3 linked regions of the Coturnix japonica genome follow. The protein of the gene in region 2 binds, or shares a complex with, the protein of the main gene of each other region. Links are inferred from orthologs where the notes say so. Each region holds a gene or a part of one and is shown on either strand. Other genes may lie near its edges.

Region 1 (3,639 bases), on a different chromosome or scaffold from region 2:
TAGGAAAATTATTGTACGGGTGGAAAAATGACTGCGCGGATGGGAAGCATCGTGTGTGATGAAGTGCTGCGACTGAGGTTTAACTTCCATTTGTATGCTTCATTACTTGTAATATTTTAATGGAATACTTGAAGTTTAGTGGTAATTTCAGTGTCACCGTGTGAGTCGGTGCCAGTGGTGAGCAGTAATACATAGACAGCGGGTAATAGAAGAGCATGTATTGCTTGAAAGATAGCGCTATTAAAGCAGTGACTTTTGACCTGCACTTAACTGAATGCTGCTATCGCTACGTGTTGTAATTTGGACTGAAGCTCGATTCTGAAGCTTGTTTGAGGAAAACATTGTGTGCTTTCCAGTGTTATCAGTGATTCTGCAGTGCAGGCAGTGTGAGCATGACCAGGGGCACTGACAGGAGCTGGTGTGCAGGGCAGAGCTGTTCTGGTGCTGACACCAAGTGCTAGCAGAGACTGGGCCCAGAGATGGTTGCTTTTATGAATGGATATAACGATATCTTTGTATATCTGGGTAGCAGAAAATGGTGTCTGCAACTGAGGGGTGGATCAGATAAATGAGGGGAAAACTCTTCTGTTAGCTGCAGGAACTTGTTCAGTCCAAGCTGGTGTCCTTGTTCTGTGTCTGAGCATTGACAGGTGATAAAGGGAACCAAACACTGTGAGGTGTTGCACTGGAGGAGTGAAAAGAGCGAAGGACTGAAAAAACAGCTGAGCTGGGAGCTGAATTTCCAGGTTGCCTTTCACTGTGTTCAAAGGGACTGGTAATAGGTGAGGCAGGGGAGAGAGCACAGAAAATGCAGTGCTTGCTTTAGTACAGGTGAGTTTGTCTGGGCTCCAAGTGAGTAATGAAATAGCTCAGCTTAAATGGCCAACGAACTAGAATCTGAAATACATGAGCTGTTTCCCTCTTGATTAAATCCTTTGTAGGTTTGAGGCACTCAATTTCTCTCCATGGTAGAGACTCTTCAAAGCATTAATGATGCTAATAGCTCCCTCTTAGCTTTGCTGTAGAATTCAGCAGTTTGGTGGCTTTGATTTTAATGCATTTAAGAAATTATTCTGGTCCTCGGCCCTTTTTTAGCTCTGCACATTTTCTCATGTCGTTCCTCCTCTTTGGCACAACCAAGAAGTGGGAAAGCCTGAGGATGGGATTTACAGGAACCTTCTGAAATAAATGTATTCACAGTCCCAATCCATATGGAGTGGAAATTCTGTGTGAAGGGTTCCCAGCTCTCCTTCCAGTTGTCAGGTTTTCAATGCATTCAGCTGTTCCTGTGGCTCTGGTGCTCCTGAGGGACTGGAGCCTCCAGGGGAGGGTGAAATAAGAGTGGTAAAAAGGTAAAATATATCTTGAAATATTGAAATAAGCTGTTTAATACTTCTAATTTCTGCAGTATGCTCTGTAACATTGAGGCAGGTTTCAGGAACACAATTATGTTTGTCTCACTGGTCCATTTAAATTGCAAAACAGTCATTAAGGGTGTGCCAGGTCATTAGGTTTTGACAAGTCTTGTTTTGTGGAGGCATTTTCTGAGGATGAAGTGCAGGTAATGTACTGCCTTCCTGTTAATTGTAACTGAAACCTGACTTATGAGTAGAGTAAAACTGTGTTTCATAAACCTTGTGCGACTTGAGTATTTTCTTCCTCTAAGGAAATGGATTTGGTTTTGTTTTTTATGAATTCTGGGGCTCCAGCTGTTTACTTTTCAGCTTTATCTGTGCCTGACTGCTTTAATCTGTCAGTAGTTAGCTTAACTTCTGGCTAGTGGTTATGGGATGGCAAGCATGTTCATATGTCTGACATTCCCATATGCATTTACACTGGATTACTTAAAACTTATTTTAAGAGTTCAGAGTAGTTTGAATAAGGCAGCAAACAGCTGAGTTTAGCAGCAAAGTGTAAATACAGATTATTTTAAGATATTATTGAATTATTTAATTGTAAAAGAACAGTTGTTGCATTCCCATTTGATGTTAATGGCATTTAGGCACTGTTAAAGTAACGCTGGGAACACTCTTGGCTTGGGTAACCGACTTCTGATTCCTTCCAACAGTGAGAGGATCAAAACCAGGTAAAAATGTCCAGCTTCAGGAGAATGAAATCAGAGGACTGTGCTTGAAATCCAGAGAGATTTTTCTCAGTCAGCCTATTCTGCTAGAACTTGAAGCTCCACTGAAAATATGTGGTAAGTGCTGTGATCTGATGCGTGGTTGGGAGTGGGGGGCATTTAGATGGATATCCTCTTTTAAGCAGGGGATGAATGCCAGATGCTGCTTCTGCTTACAAAACTGATGAATGATTGCAGTAAAAGGGAAAATAAGCCTGTCCTGAATGCTTTGAGTGGAGGAATGGGAAGGAGGTAAATGGGAATTGTAGGGGGAAGCAGGAAATCCCAAACCAGAAAGTGGTCCTGTTTGATCAAGTCTCCTGGGAAAGGGATTCAGAAGAAGCTTTGGAAAGGAACCTTTGTATCAGTTATTGCTCAGTGCTGTCGTCACTGAACATGGAGGAAAACAAGACACAGTAGCTGATGGGAGCTGCCATCCAGATCTCAGCCCTGATTTGACACAGTTTTAGAATCTGGAAGCTTAAATTTCTGTATCACCTGTGGTTTCTGGTTTGGTTTTACCATATTTATGTATGGTGATGTTCTCACTTTTTAGACATGCACATGTGTAGTTATGCTAAAGGGATGAAGGATGTCAAAATAAATCTTTAATAAATGCACGTTAGTAGAGGTTCCAGGAAGCAGTGTTTTATCCTGCTCCAACACTGCGGATTTACTTCTGAAGTAGCTTGTTCAATATTTATGGTATGTGGTAGCCTTAAAACCAGATTTATTGTTCTGCTGTCTGAAACAAAACCATGATTTAAACCAAAGGCAGGAATACCAATTTCTTCTGATACGACTTCCCTGCTGGAATTTGAGTTACTGGCTGTTGCAGGAAAATACCAGACGTGGTATAGAGGAAAGGAAATTCCCCAGGCAGTTTTTCCATCAGTGTCACTACTGAAGTGTGGCTGTATCAAGAATGAAGTCAGGGTTTCTAATCTTGCAGCCTGTAGTCAAGAAAAGGATTTAACTGGGTGCCAGATTTGTTTGAGTATGTAGAGTTGATTTCTTGGGATGTTGGACTTGTTTTATGAGTCTATGAGTATATTAAAGCAGATACGTACTGGAGTCATAATGTGTTCTTAGTCATTGTCTTACGTAGATATCAACTTTGAGTGTGATAGCATGAAGACAAACTATGTAATCTTCAGGAATGCTGCAGGCAGTATCTGTCTGCAGGTTTTTCCTGTTGGTGCTGTTTCTCTAGGGAAAATAATTGTAAAATATGACAAAGTCAGTTACGTGCCATTTCTGACTGCTTTTTACAGGTGACATCCATGGACAATACTATGACTTGCTTCGGCTCTTTGAATATGGAGGCTTTCCACCAGAGAGCAACTACCTATTCCTTGGTGACTATGTTGACAGAGGAAAGCAGTCTTTAGAAACAATTTGTCTTCTATTGGCCTACAAAATTAAATACCCGGAGAACTTTTTCCTCCTCAGAGGGAACCATGAATGTGCCAGCATTAATAGAATTTATGGATTTTATGATGAATGTAAGTAATATG
Region 2 (4,431 bases):
TATGTTCATCTAAGTAACATTGGGATCCTCTCCTGATTAGTTTCAGGTATATGATAATCCGATTCCATTAGTTAGAATCAAGAATCTGATTGTTCTCTTAACTTCGCAGGTTCCAGATGACTGCAATTTTACCAGCTGCACTAGAAATGCTACCAATAGAGACTTGTATCAGCCAGGTAGGGATCACTTCTGATATTCAGCAGCTTTAATTTTATGAAATAGTTCCTTTTCTCCCCACTCTGAGGTGCTTTATGTTACATGAAGCCAAAACCATACCATAGTTTGTCTCCTTTTCAAAAATAATCTCTGGTTTTATGGTAATCACTTGTTATTCATAGAATGGCTTAGGAAGGGACCTTAAAGATCCCCAGTACCCCTGTTGTGGGCTGCTTGCCCCCCATCAGATTAGGCTGTCCAGGGCCCCACCCAGCAACATCCAACCTAGATCTCATCTTTTATTTTAAAGCCATTTCCTTCTGTCCTATTACAACATGTAAAAAGTCAGTCCCTCCTCTTGCTTGTAAACTCCCTTCCATTACTGAAAAGCTACAATGAGGTCTCCTTGGAGTCTTCTCCAAGCTAGACAAGCCAAACTCCTTCAGCCTTTCCTCACAGGAAAGATGGTCCTGCCCTTATTAAGAGCATTAACAAGCTATTAATCTCCATCCACGACTTGGCATTTATGGGATCAACCTTACCTAATCAAGGCAATATCATCGATGAGCCCACCTTTCCCATTGTAAACACTGGTTGCTTTGATCCCCAGCTTATTACTCGCCACAGACAGCAAATCTGACAGCGTGCCATATACAGCCACTACCTGCAAAGAGAAGGAAACCACATTAGGGCTGCTACCATCCCAGAGCAGCATTGGGCCTTAAAACCTGATATGCTTTTGCTATAGACATTGCTTCACAGCTTTGAGCAGAAAAAAAGGTTATTTATCAGCTACCCAACAGAAAGCACAGCACAGGAAGACCTCAGCACATCCCTAATGTGCTCAGGGCATGTTTCTATCAGCACAGCACCACTAAATGGGAGCTGAACTGCATTGAAGAGCAGTTATGCCTGTATGGGGTCTATGGGGCCCATATGGGGTTGTGGGGCCCATATGGGGTTGTGGGGCCTGTATGGGGTCTATGGGGCCCATATGGGGTTGTGGGGCCTGTATGGGGTCTATGGGGGCCTGTATGGGGGTCTATGGGTCCTATATGGCCTAGGCCCAGTGCTGCCCCATACACAGGCCTAGGCCTCAACCCGGCCCCTCAGACCCCACTACCCCAATCACGGCCACAGTAGGCAGCCCTCCAGTCCCAAAGCAAGCAGAGGAAAATAGAACAACCTCAGAAACTCACTTTCAGGTTCCCAAATCCGACCCACAGGCCTCAACCCCCCCACCCCTCACCTTCCCGTTCCGGGGACTGCCGTTAACGAACAGCGTGACCCGCCTCATACTGCCACCAAACCCGGAAGTCAGCGCTCTCTGAGCGACAGGAGCTATAACCAATCGCAGCCAAGCCGCTGGCCAATGAGAAACGCGCCTCGCAGGAGGGGCGGGGAAACAACGAGTGGGCGGAAGCAGAGGTACCAGCAGCCAATCAAAAACAGGAGTTGGGTGCTTAAAAGCAAACGCTGCTCGCGATTGGTGCGCGCTGTCACGTGGACGGCGACCGTTGCAATTCAAAATGGCGGCGCGGCGCGTAACGGTCATTGATGGCTCCGCGGTTCGAACGTGAGGGGAGAGCGGGGATGGCGGCTGAGGTGGGGGGGGGGGGGGTCTGTGGTAATGGCCCTTGTATGGCCCTTGTATGGCCCTTGTATGGCCCTTATTGCCTTAAACAGCCCGGTCCGTGGAACCTAACGCGTATTCTCGTGAGCTGCTGCTGTGGCCTGTTTCCCTGAGCTTTAATACCTGAGAGAAACCCAGTAATGCGAAAGATGTGAGAGACCTAAAGAACCCCCCCCCCCTTTCCCCTTCCCCTTTATACTATTCATACCTCAATTGCGTTTAAAACGGGCATTTAAACGCTAAATGTATATATTTACCACAAAATAAAAGCATAAGCCTGTGTTTCCTTACCCATAGCCAAGCTTCTGTGCTTCTCTTACCATAAGGCTTTCCCTATTCTTCCCCTTTCCCCCCTCCCCAAGTGGTTTTCTAGATCTGCAGTCATTTCATATCATTACAGGGCTGTTTTCCTTATCAAATGACTTAAAACTTGTCATTTTTTAACAGGGAGCTGTTGTTATTGGAGGCAAGTGAATAACTTTGTGCTTCTTCGGGCTTAAAACACGTTGTCATCAAAGGTTAGAGATGCTGTGCTGGAAGATGAAGGCAATGAGAGAAGAAATCTTGCAGTGACTGAAGAGATCCCCATTAGAAGAGTGGAAGGTTTGCAAAGTGACTGAGCCTGAAATGGCATCTGAGAAAGAGAACGTAAGCAATGGAACCAAAGGCCAAGAGCAGGAATTGTATCATGATGCTGAGAGCCATCAGTGGTCAGAATGTCCCTTAGATACTCCAAAAAGGGCTGTGGTTGGTGAAGCTGCCCAGCCTCTGAGCAGCAAAGAGAATGTTTCAGGTAGATCCGTGCCTTTGGGAGATGAGTGCTACTCAACGCCTGCAAGGCTCAAAGCAGAAGAAAAATCCTATTGCGAATTAGCAGAGAAACAGAGGAGAAAAAGTGTCGATTTTGCAACTGTAACAACTGCTGATTTTGGGATTACTCCAGAAAGCTTTGTTAATGGATCTACAGGTAAGGCAAGGCTGGAGTGATCAGAAAGGGTTGGACTGGATGATCTTGTAGGTCTTTCTGCTCATGCTGATTAATTGATTTTCTGACAGTTTTCTGAGCTGTAAAGCTATATGAGGTTGTTTCCAGAAATAACGCAAACCATTCTTTAAAGAAAAAACCCAAACCCCATTAAACCAGTGTTCTGCTGTACATCTTCATTGTTTTTTTTTCCTTCTCTCTCCATTTCAGCAAAGTCTCCAGCTGCTCTAAAGCTCAGACGAAGATCAGCCATTGGAGCAAGGGGGTCTCCAGAAAACAATACCCTCATTCAATACCTTGCCCAGCAGAAGAGCAACAGGCAAAAAGAAGCTTTAACACAGGTGAGGGTTGTTCTCAAGTGTCTAATGCATCATTTTAATTCCCTTAGGGATCAATATGTAAGTCTTCCATTTTAACACCTCCTGGCAGAAAGAGACTAGAAACCCAAGGGAAGGGGTCAGTAGAAGAAATAGCTTTGGCCTTAATTTTCTTGATTTTCCTTGGATGCTTTTGTTTTTAAATAGAGAGTTGAATGCTGGTTTTGTTTCTGTAGAGTCCAGAATCTCTTTTTTTGTCTATTTACACTTATAATAGCATTCCTTTATCTGCATTCACTGCACTTTATGCCAAAGATATAGATAACTAAAAAAAATTGCAGGTCATCTTGGAAAAAGCATCTGACACTGATTTTTCTATTAGCAGGCCAGTCCTTGTCAGTTTGCCAGGTCACTGAAGAGCAAAATGGATATCTTTCAAAGAACTTTTAAGTCAGTTCAAGAAGCTGAAGGGAAGACGGGCTTCTCTGGACTCTCACAAGCATCTACTGCTTTTCAGGAAGGTGGCTTTTGTAAGTTAATTGAGTTTAAATATTAGGTCTTCCCTTAAGCCAATAAATATGAAACACCACTAAAAATGTTTTCATTTCAGTCTTTAATTTTCATATGTTCTTGCCTTGAAGTTTTCAGCCCTGACTGTATCAGTAAAGAAGTCAGAAGTAATGTCATATCAGATCAAAGCAGGAAAAAGGTTAATTTTGCAGAAGAACTAATTGTGGGAATATATGATGAAAGTGAGCTGCCTGTCACACCACTACAAACAAGGAGTGCTTCATTAAGTGAATCCACACAGAGTGGCTCACAGCTGAGATCTGTCTTGAAGAAAACACCAGTGAAGCAACTGATGGACTGCATGAAGGTTGGTTGGTTAACTTCCATCACAGTAGAAATTGATTCATATTTTAAGATGCTTTCAGACTATTTGTATGCACTGAAGATGGTTATCGGCGGTTGTCTGTTTGTGTCATGGTTGGTTTGAAGCTTTCTTGTTATGAGAAGATCCATTTTTATGCTTTCAAGTTTTACTCAACAAATAGATTTGTTAAAGAGTTGCACTGATTGTAAACTTTGCTTTCAGAGGAAGTTATTTTCTCTTTCGATTTGAAAAAGGGCAGTCCTTAAATGAATGGTACTTAATAGATGCTATTATCACATTTGATAGGAATATTCACACAATGCTCTTCATGGAGGAGGAAGCGAATCTTTTACAGTCTCTGATCACATCTGTGAAGCACTGCAAACAGGTTTGATTCCCATTTTGTTGTGTTATTTTCTTCTGTTGTTCTATGAATTGAAGAGATTTGCGAGATCTAAAGGATATT
Region 3 (4,221 bases), on a different chromosome or scaffold from region 2:
GGAGCGGTGCCAGCCCACGGACAAAGCGTCCCCTTGTCCCCGCGGGGTCACGCGGAGGCGGTGGGCACGGCGCTGCCACACGGAACACCCGGCACCACCCAGCCCCGCCGGGAAAGGGGAAGGGGCCCCCCGCCCGCAGACCCCGGGCCGCCACTCACCATGTTGCGGGCGTCGGGAGGCTGCGAGAGACGGGAGAGGGGTCGCGGTGAGCAGGGCGCAGCCCGCACCGTCGGCCCCACTGGTACCGCGCCGTGCCACCGTGCTCCCGGAGGGACACTGAGGCGTGCGGCCACACGGCCCCACCGGGAAGAGCCGTGCCCCGCAGTCACGCGTGGCCGCTGGCAGTGGGGCGGCCCCGTGCCCGGGCTTAGCGGCACAGAGCCCTATTGTCCCCGGCTTCCACCCGCCCGTCCCCGGCGCCGCTCGGTGCCGCCCCGCACGTCCCCCGGCTTAGCGCAACGGCTGCCCGCGATTTCACCGCCGGACACGCGCAGCACGGCGCACGCCAACACCCTCGGACACGCGTGGAGCGGGCGCCGCCTGCACCCACCGGCGGTCGCTGTCGCTTTCGGGCGGTCGTGGCGGCGGTGCCCGCGGAGCCGTGCCCGTTCTGCACCGGCGGCGGAGGCGCCTTCGGTGGCAGAAGGGCGTCCCCGGGGGAGGGCGCGGGGCGGGGCGGGGAAGGGGGGGAGAGAGGGAATGGGGGGTGTGCGGGGTGTGCGGGCACCAGGATTCAGGGGTGCGGGGTATCAGGTGTGGGGTGTGAGGGAACTATGGGGCGTGGAGACAAGGATGCGAGGGCATGAGAACATCTGGGGCGTATGGGGAAATGGAGATGGGGAACGAGGGAGCACGGGGAGAAGGATCTGTGGGGTTACGGGGATCCGGGGACACGGGGATTTGGGAATACGAGGCACGGGGACGTAGCGACGGGTAAATCGGAGGATACGGAGATAAGGGAAGATACGGGAAAAGGGGGATCTGAGAGTGGGGGACGTGGTGACAGAGCAACGTCGGGGTGGGGACGGGTAGATCGGAGGAGCCGGGGCACGGAGACACGGGATGTGAGCACACCGCGACGTGGGGCCGCACGGATCGGGGGACACGGGGAGGCGGGACACGAGCAGCGGGACACGCAGCCGGCAGCGGAGCGGGGACAGTTGCCGGGGTCGTTCGGGGACAGCGGCGCAGCTGACACCGCGGGGCTGAAATGTCACCGGTGTCACCGCGGGCAACGGGCCAGGCTGTGCCGGCACCGCGCGGCTCGTACTGCACGTGGGGGCGGCACGGCGGCACGAGGGGCACAAGTGAGGCGGGTGGAGCCGGTGGCAGCACCGTGTCTCTCGGCACACGTCCCCGCGGGGCTCCCCACGCGCCGCGAGGCTGACAACGGCAACAGCCGCCGGGCAACCGGCCGGCACGGGGAACGACACGGCGCCGCCTCGTGGGAGCGCGCAGCCCCCACGCGCCTCCGCGGCCTCCCATCCGCCATGGGGCGCTCTCGCCACCCGCCGCTCGCCCCGGCCGCTCTCTATGGCCGCGGGGCCGGGACCGGGGCGGGCCAGGGCGGGGGGGGGAAGCAGCGTCCGGCGGCCATGGCGGATACCGAGAAGCTCAACCTCGACTCCATCATCGGCCGCCTCCTGGAGGGTGAGCGATGGGCCTAGTGCTCCCGGACCGCCTCGGGAGCCGCTAGGGGAGGGAAGGACCGGCGCTGTGCCGCCAAGGAGGGGCTGGAGAACGGGGCTGCGGGCCGGGGCCTGCGGGGAAACGGGGGCCGTGCGAGGCTCTGGGGGTCCAACTGTGGGGCTGTGGGGCAGCGGGGGGTATCGGGGCAGCGGGGGGCCGGGGGGAGCCGGGCGGTGGGAGCCGCTGGGGGCTGTGGGAATGAGGGGGGCTGCGGGCGATCGGGGCGGATGGGGGGTGGCTGCAGAGGGCCGGGGGCACCGGGAGGGCCGTGCGTTAGTGCGGGACTGTTAGGGCACGGCGGCTCTGCGGGCTCCGGGGGTGGAGTGGGCTCTGCTGAAAGCCACCCCCGCACAGTGCAAGGCTCACGGCCTGGGAAGAACGTGCAGCTGACAGAGAACGAGATCCGGGGGCTGTGCCTGAAGTCACGGGAGATATTCCTGAGCCAGCCCATCCTGCTGGAGCTCGAGGCTCCGCTCAAGATCTGCGGTGAGCGACGAGCCGGGGGGAGGGGAAGGGGGCGGGCTGGGAGCCAGCGTCACCGCGTGTCCCCCGCGATCTTCTTACAGGCGACATCCATGGACAATACTATGACTTGCTTCGGCTCTTTGAATATGGAGGCTTTCCACCAGAGAGCAACTACCTATTCCTTGGTGACTATGTTGACAGAGGAAAGCAGTCTTTAGAAACAATTTGTCTTCTATTGGCCTACAAAATTAAATACCCGGAGAACTTTTTCCTGCTGCGTGGCAACCACGAATGTGCCAGCATCAACCGCATCTACGGCTTCTATGATGAGTGTGAGTGCTGCACCGGCCCCACTACTGACAAACGGGACTGCCTTGTCACCTCACTGCCAACCCCATATGATACAGCCAGCCCAAAGTCCCCCCTTCCATCCCCATTTGCAGCTCTTCCCATCTCCTGCAGACCTTATGTTCATCCCAGCTACTTTCTCCTGCAGACCTTATGCCCCCATCCCAGCCATCTCCTCCTGCAGACCTTATGCCCCATCCCAGCTACCTCCTCCTGCAGACCTCATACCCCCATCCCAGCCACCTCCACGGCCACCCCCCCAGCCCCCTGGAGGGTTCAGTGCTGCCCTGTGTGTGTTGTGATACACCAGAGGGTGGGGAGGGTGGAACATGGCCCACATGAAGGGCTCCTGTGAGCACCCACCCCGCTGCCTCACAGGCAAGCGGCGATACAACATCAAGCTGTGGAAAACCTTCACCGATTGTTTTAACTGTTTACCAATTGCAGCAATTGTGGATGAGAAGATATTCTGCTGTCACGGAGGTGGGCACAGGGCTGGGGGCTGCCGCCTGGGTCCAAAGGCCGCCACACAGCATAACCTGACACTCCTGTGCAGGGCTGTCTCCTGACTTGCAGTCGATGGAACAGATCCGGCGCATCATGCGACCCACGGACGTACCCGACCAGGGCCTGCTGTGTGATCTCCTGTGGTCTGACCCTGACAAAGATGTCTTAGGATGGGGTGAAAATGACAGAGGAGTGTCCTTCACCTTTGGGGCCGAGGTGGTGGCCAAGTTCCTGCACAAGCATGACCTCGATCTCATCTGCAGGGCACACCAGGTAATGGGGTCGGGCCTCACCTGGGCTCCATAACGGTGGAGCTTTTCCCAGGAGGGGCCATTTGCTCTTGAGGATGTGGTTGGGCTCTTTTGAAGGGGATGCTGCCCCCTGGGGGAGTTGGTGGGCTCTATGGACAGAGAACAGGGAGATATGAGTGCTGCTGCCCCACAGGTGGTGGAGGACGGCTACGAGTTCTTTGCCAAACGCCAGCTTGTCACCCTCTTCTCTGCACCCAACTACTGCGGGGAGTTTGACAACGCAGGAGCCATGATGAGTGTGGACGAGACCCTCATGTGCTCCTTCCAAGTGAGCTGGGGCTTTGCCGGGGAGGGGGCAGCACACAGGGCTCTGCCTGCAGCCCCTTCACTCACCCTTCACTTCCTTGCAGATTCTGAAACCAGCAGACAAGAACAAGGGCAAGTACGGGCAGTTCAGTGGGCTGAACCCTGCTGGCCGCCCCGTCACCCCACCACGCAACTCTGCCAAAGCCAAGAAGTGAGTGTCCACCGCCAGCAGCCCCAGCACCAGGTCGCTCCTTTCTCCATTCGTTTTTTTATTTGTCAGATCCTGCCCTTGCCGCTTTCTACTGTACCAAATGTACCCTCTGGGGCAGGACCCGCCCCTCAGTTGGCAGTGAAGGCAGGGCAGGAGGCTTTTTTTGGGGAATAAACTTGTAATGGGTCTTAAGATGTGGCTTTAGGATCACACCCTACGTGGCCAGGCAGTGCCAGCTGCTGCGCCATGGCATCGCAATGGGGGCTCTCAGCATTCGGCATCGCTGTCCTCTGCCAGCACCTCCTGGCTGGGGGCTGGGCCAGGCCCCCCCGGTGTCAGCACGGAGCCAAAAAACAACGAGCGGAACTTTGGGGGGGTGAAAAGACACAGGGTGAGGGGGCCGTGCCTGTCCTGTTCCCTCCCCCCATTCTGGTTCCTGTCCCA

What was found.
Region 1: the proteins of CDCA2 (region 2) and PPP1CC are in contact, whole or in part, in a crystal structure (PDB 5INB), measured with the Homo sapiens proteins. The link is inferred for Coturnix japonica from reciprocal best matches to the Homo sapiens genes CDCA2 and PPP1CC. Residues at the interface, in NP_689775.2 of Homo sapiens: Lys391, Arg392, Val393, Thr394, Phe395, Gly396, Asp398, Leu399, Ser400, Pro401, Glu402, Val403, Phe404, Asp405, Glu406, Ser407, Leu408, Pro409, Ala410, Asn411, Pro413, Leu414, Gly417, Gly418, Thr419, Pro420, Val421, Cys422; in NP_002701.1 of Homo sapiens: Arg20, Gly21, Ser22, Pro24, Lys60, Tyr70, Asp71, Leu73, Arg74, Glu77, Tyr78, Asp166, Lys168, Ile169, Asp242, Leu243, Tyr255, Phe257, Arg261, Pro270, Asn271, Ser284, Asp286, Glu287, Thr288, Leu289, Met290, Cys291, Ser292, Phe293.
Region 3: the proteins of CDCA2 (region 2) and PPP1CA are in contact, whole or in part, in a crystal structure (PDB 5IOH), measured with the Homo sapiens proteins. The link is inferred for Coturnix japonica from reciprocal best matches to the Homo sapiens genes CDCA2 and PPP1CA. Residues at the interface, in NP_689775.2 of Homo sapiens: Lys391, Arg392, Val393, Thr394, Phe395, Gly396, Asp398, Leu399, Ser400, Pro401, Glu402, Val403, Phe404, Asp405, Glu406, Ser407, Leu408, Pro409, Ala410, Asn411, Leu414, Gly417, Gly418, Thr419, Pro420, Val421, Lys423; in NP_002699.1 of Homo sapiens: Gln20, Gly21, Ser22, Pro24, Tyr70, Asp71, Leu73, Arg74, Glu77, Tyr78, Asp166, Lys168, Ile169, Asp242, Leu243, Tyr255, Phe257, Arg261, Pro270, Ser284, Glu287, Thr288, Leu289, Met290, Cys291, Ser292, Phe293, Gln294, Ile295, Leu296.

The regions. Positions count from the first base shown.
Region 1 is NC_029530.1:5,183,815-5,187,453, reverse strand, and holds part of PPP1CC (serine/threonine-protein phosphatase PP1-gamma catalytic subunit), read left to right. Parts: intron 1-2,068; coding exon 2,069-2,200; intron 2,201-3,396; coding exon 3,397-3,627; intron 3,628-3,639. UniProt on the Homo sapiens protein: Protein phosphatase that associates with over 200 regulatory proteins to form highly specific holoenzymes which dephosphorylate hundreds of biological targets.
Region 2 is NC_029537.1:1,990,725-1,995,155, reverse strand, and holds the start of CDCA2 (cell division cycle-associated protein 2), read left to right. Parts: upstream 1-1,630; 5' UTR 1,631-1,732; exon of another isoform or gene 1,733-1,761; intron 1,762-1,785; exon of another isoform or gene 1,786-1,940; intron 1,941-2,236; 5' UTR 2,237-2,416; coding exon 2,417-2,756; intron 2,757-2,984; coding exon 2,985-3,115; intron 3,116-3,473; coding exon 3,474-3,621; intron 3,622-3,732; coding exon 3,733-3,968; intron 3,969-4,271; coding exon 4,272-4,353; intron 4,354-4,431. Other genes in the region: BTB/POZ domain-containing protein KCTD9, read right to left, coding at 699-820, 1,406-1,453. UniProt on the Homo sapiens protein: Regulator of chromosome structure during mitosis required for condensin-depleted chromosomes to retain their compact architecture through anaphase.
Region 3 is NC_029520.1:169,963-174,183, reverse strand, and holds PPP1CA (serine/threonine-protein phosphatase PP1-alpha catalytic subunit), read left to right. Parts: upstream 1-1,340; 5' UTR 1,341-1,490; coding exon 1,491-1,650; intron 1,651-2,043; coding exon 2,044-2,175; intron 2,176-2,255; coding exon 2,256-2,486; intron 2,487-2,880; coding exon 2,881-2,985; intron 2,986-3,058; coding exon 3,059-3,282; intron 3,283-3,453; coding exon 3,454-3,588; intron 3,589-3,670; coding exon 3,671-3,781; 3' UTR 3,782-3,969; downstream 3,970-4,221. Other genes in the region: CARNS1 (carnosine synthase 1), read right to left, coding at 159-161; cell cycle checkpoint control protein RAD9A, read right to left, coding at 4,045-4,143. UniProt on the Homo sapiens protein: Protein phosphatase that associates with over 200 regulatory proteins to form highly specific holoenzymes which dephosphorylate hundreds of biological targets.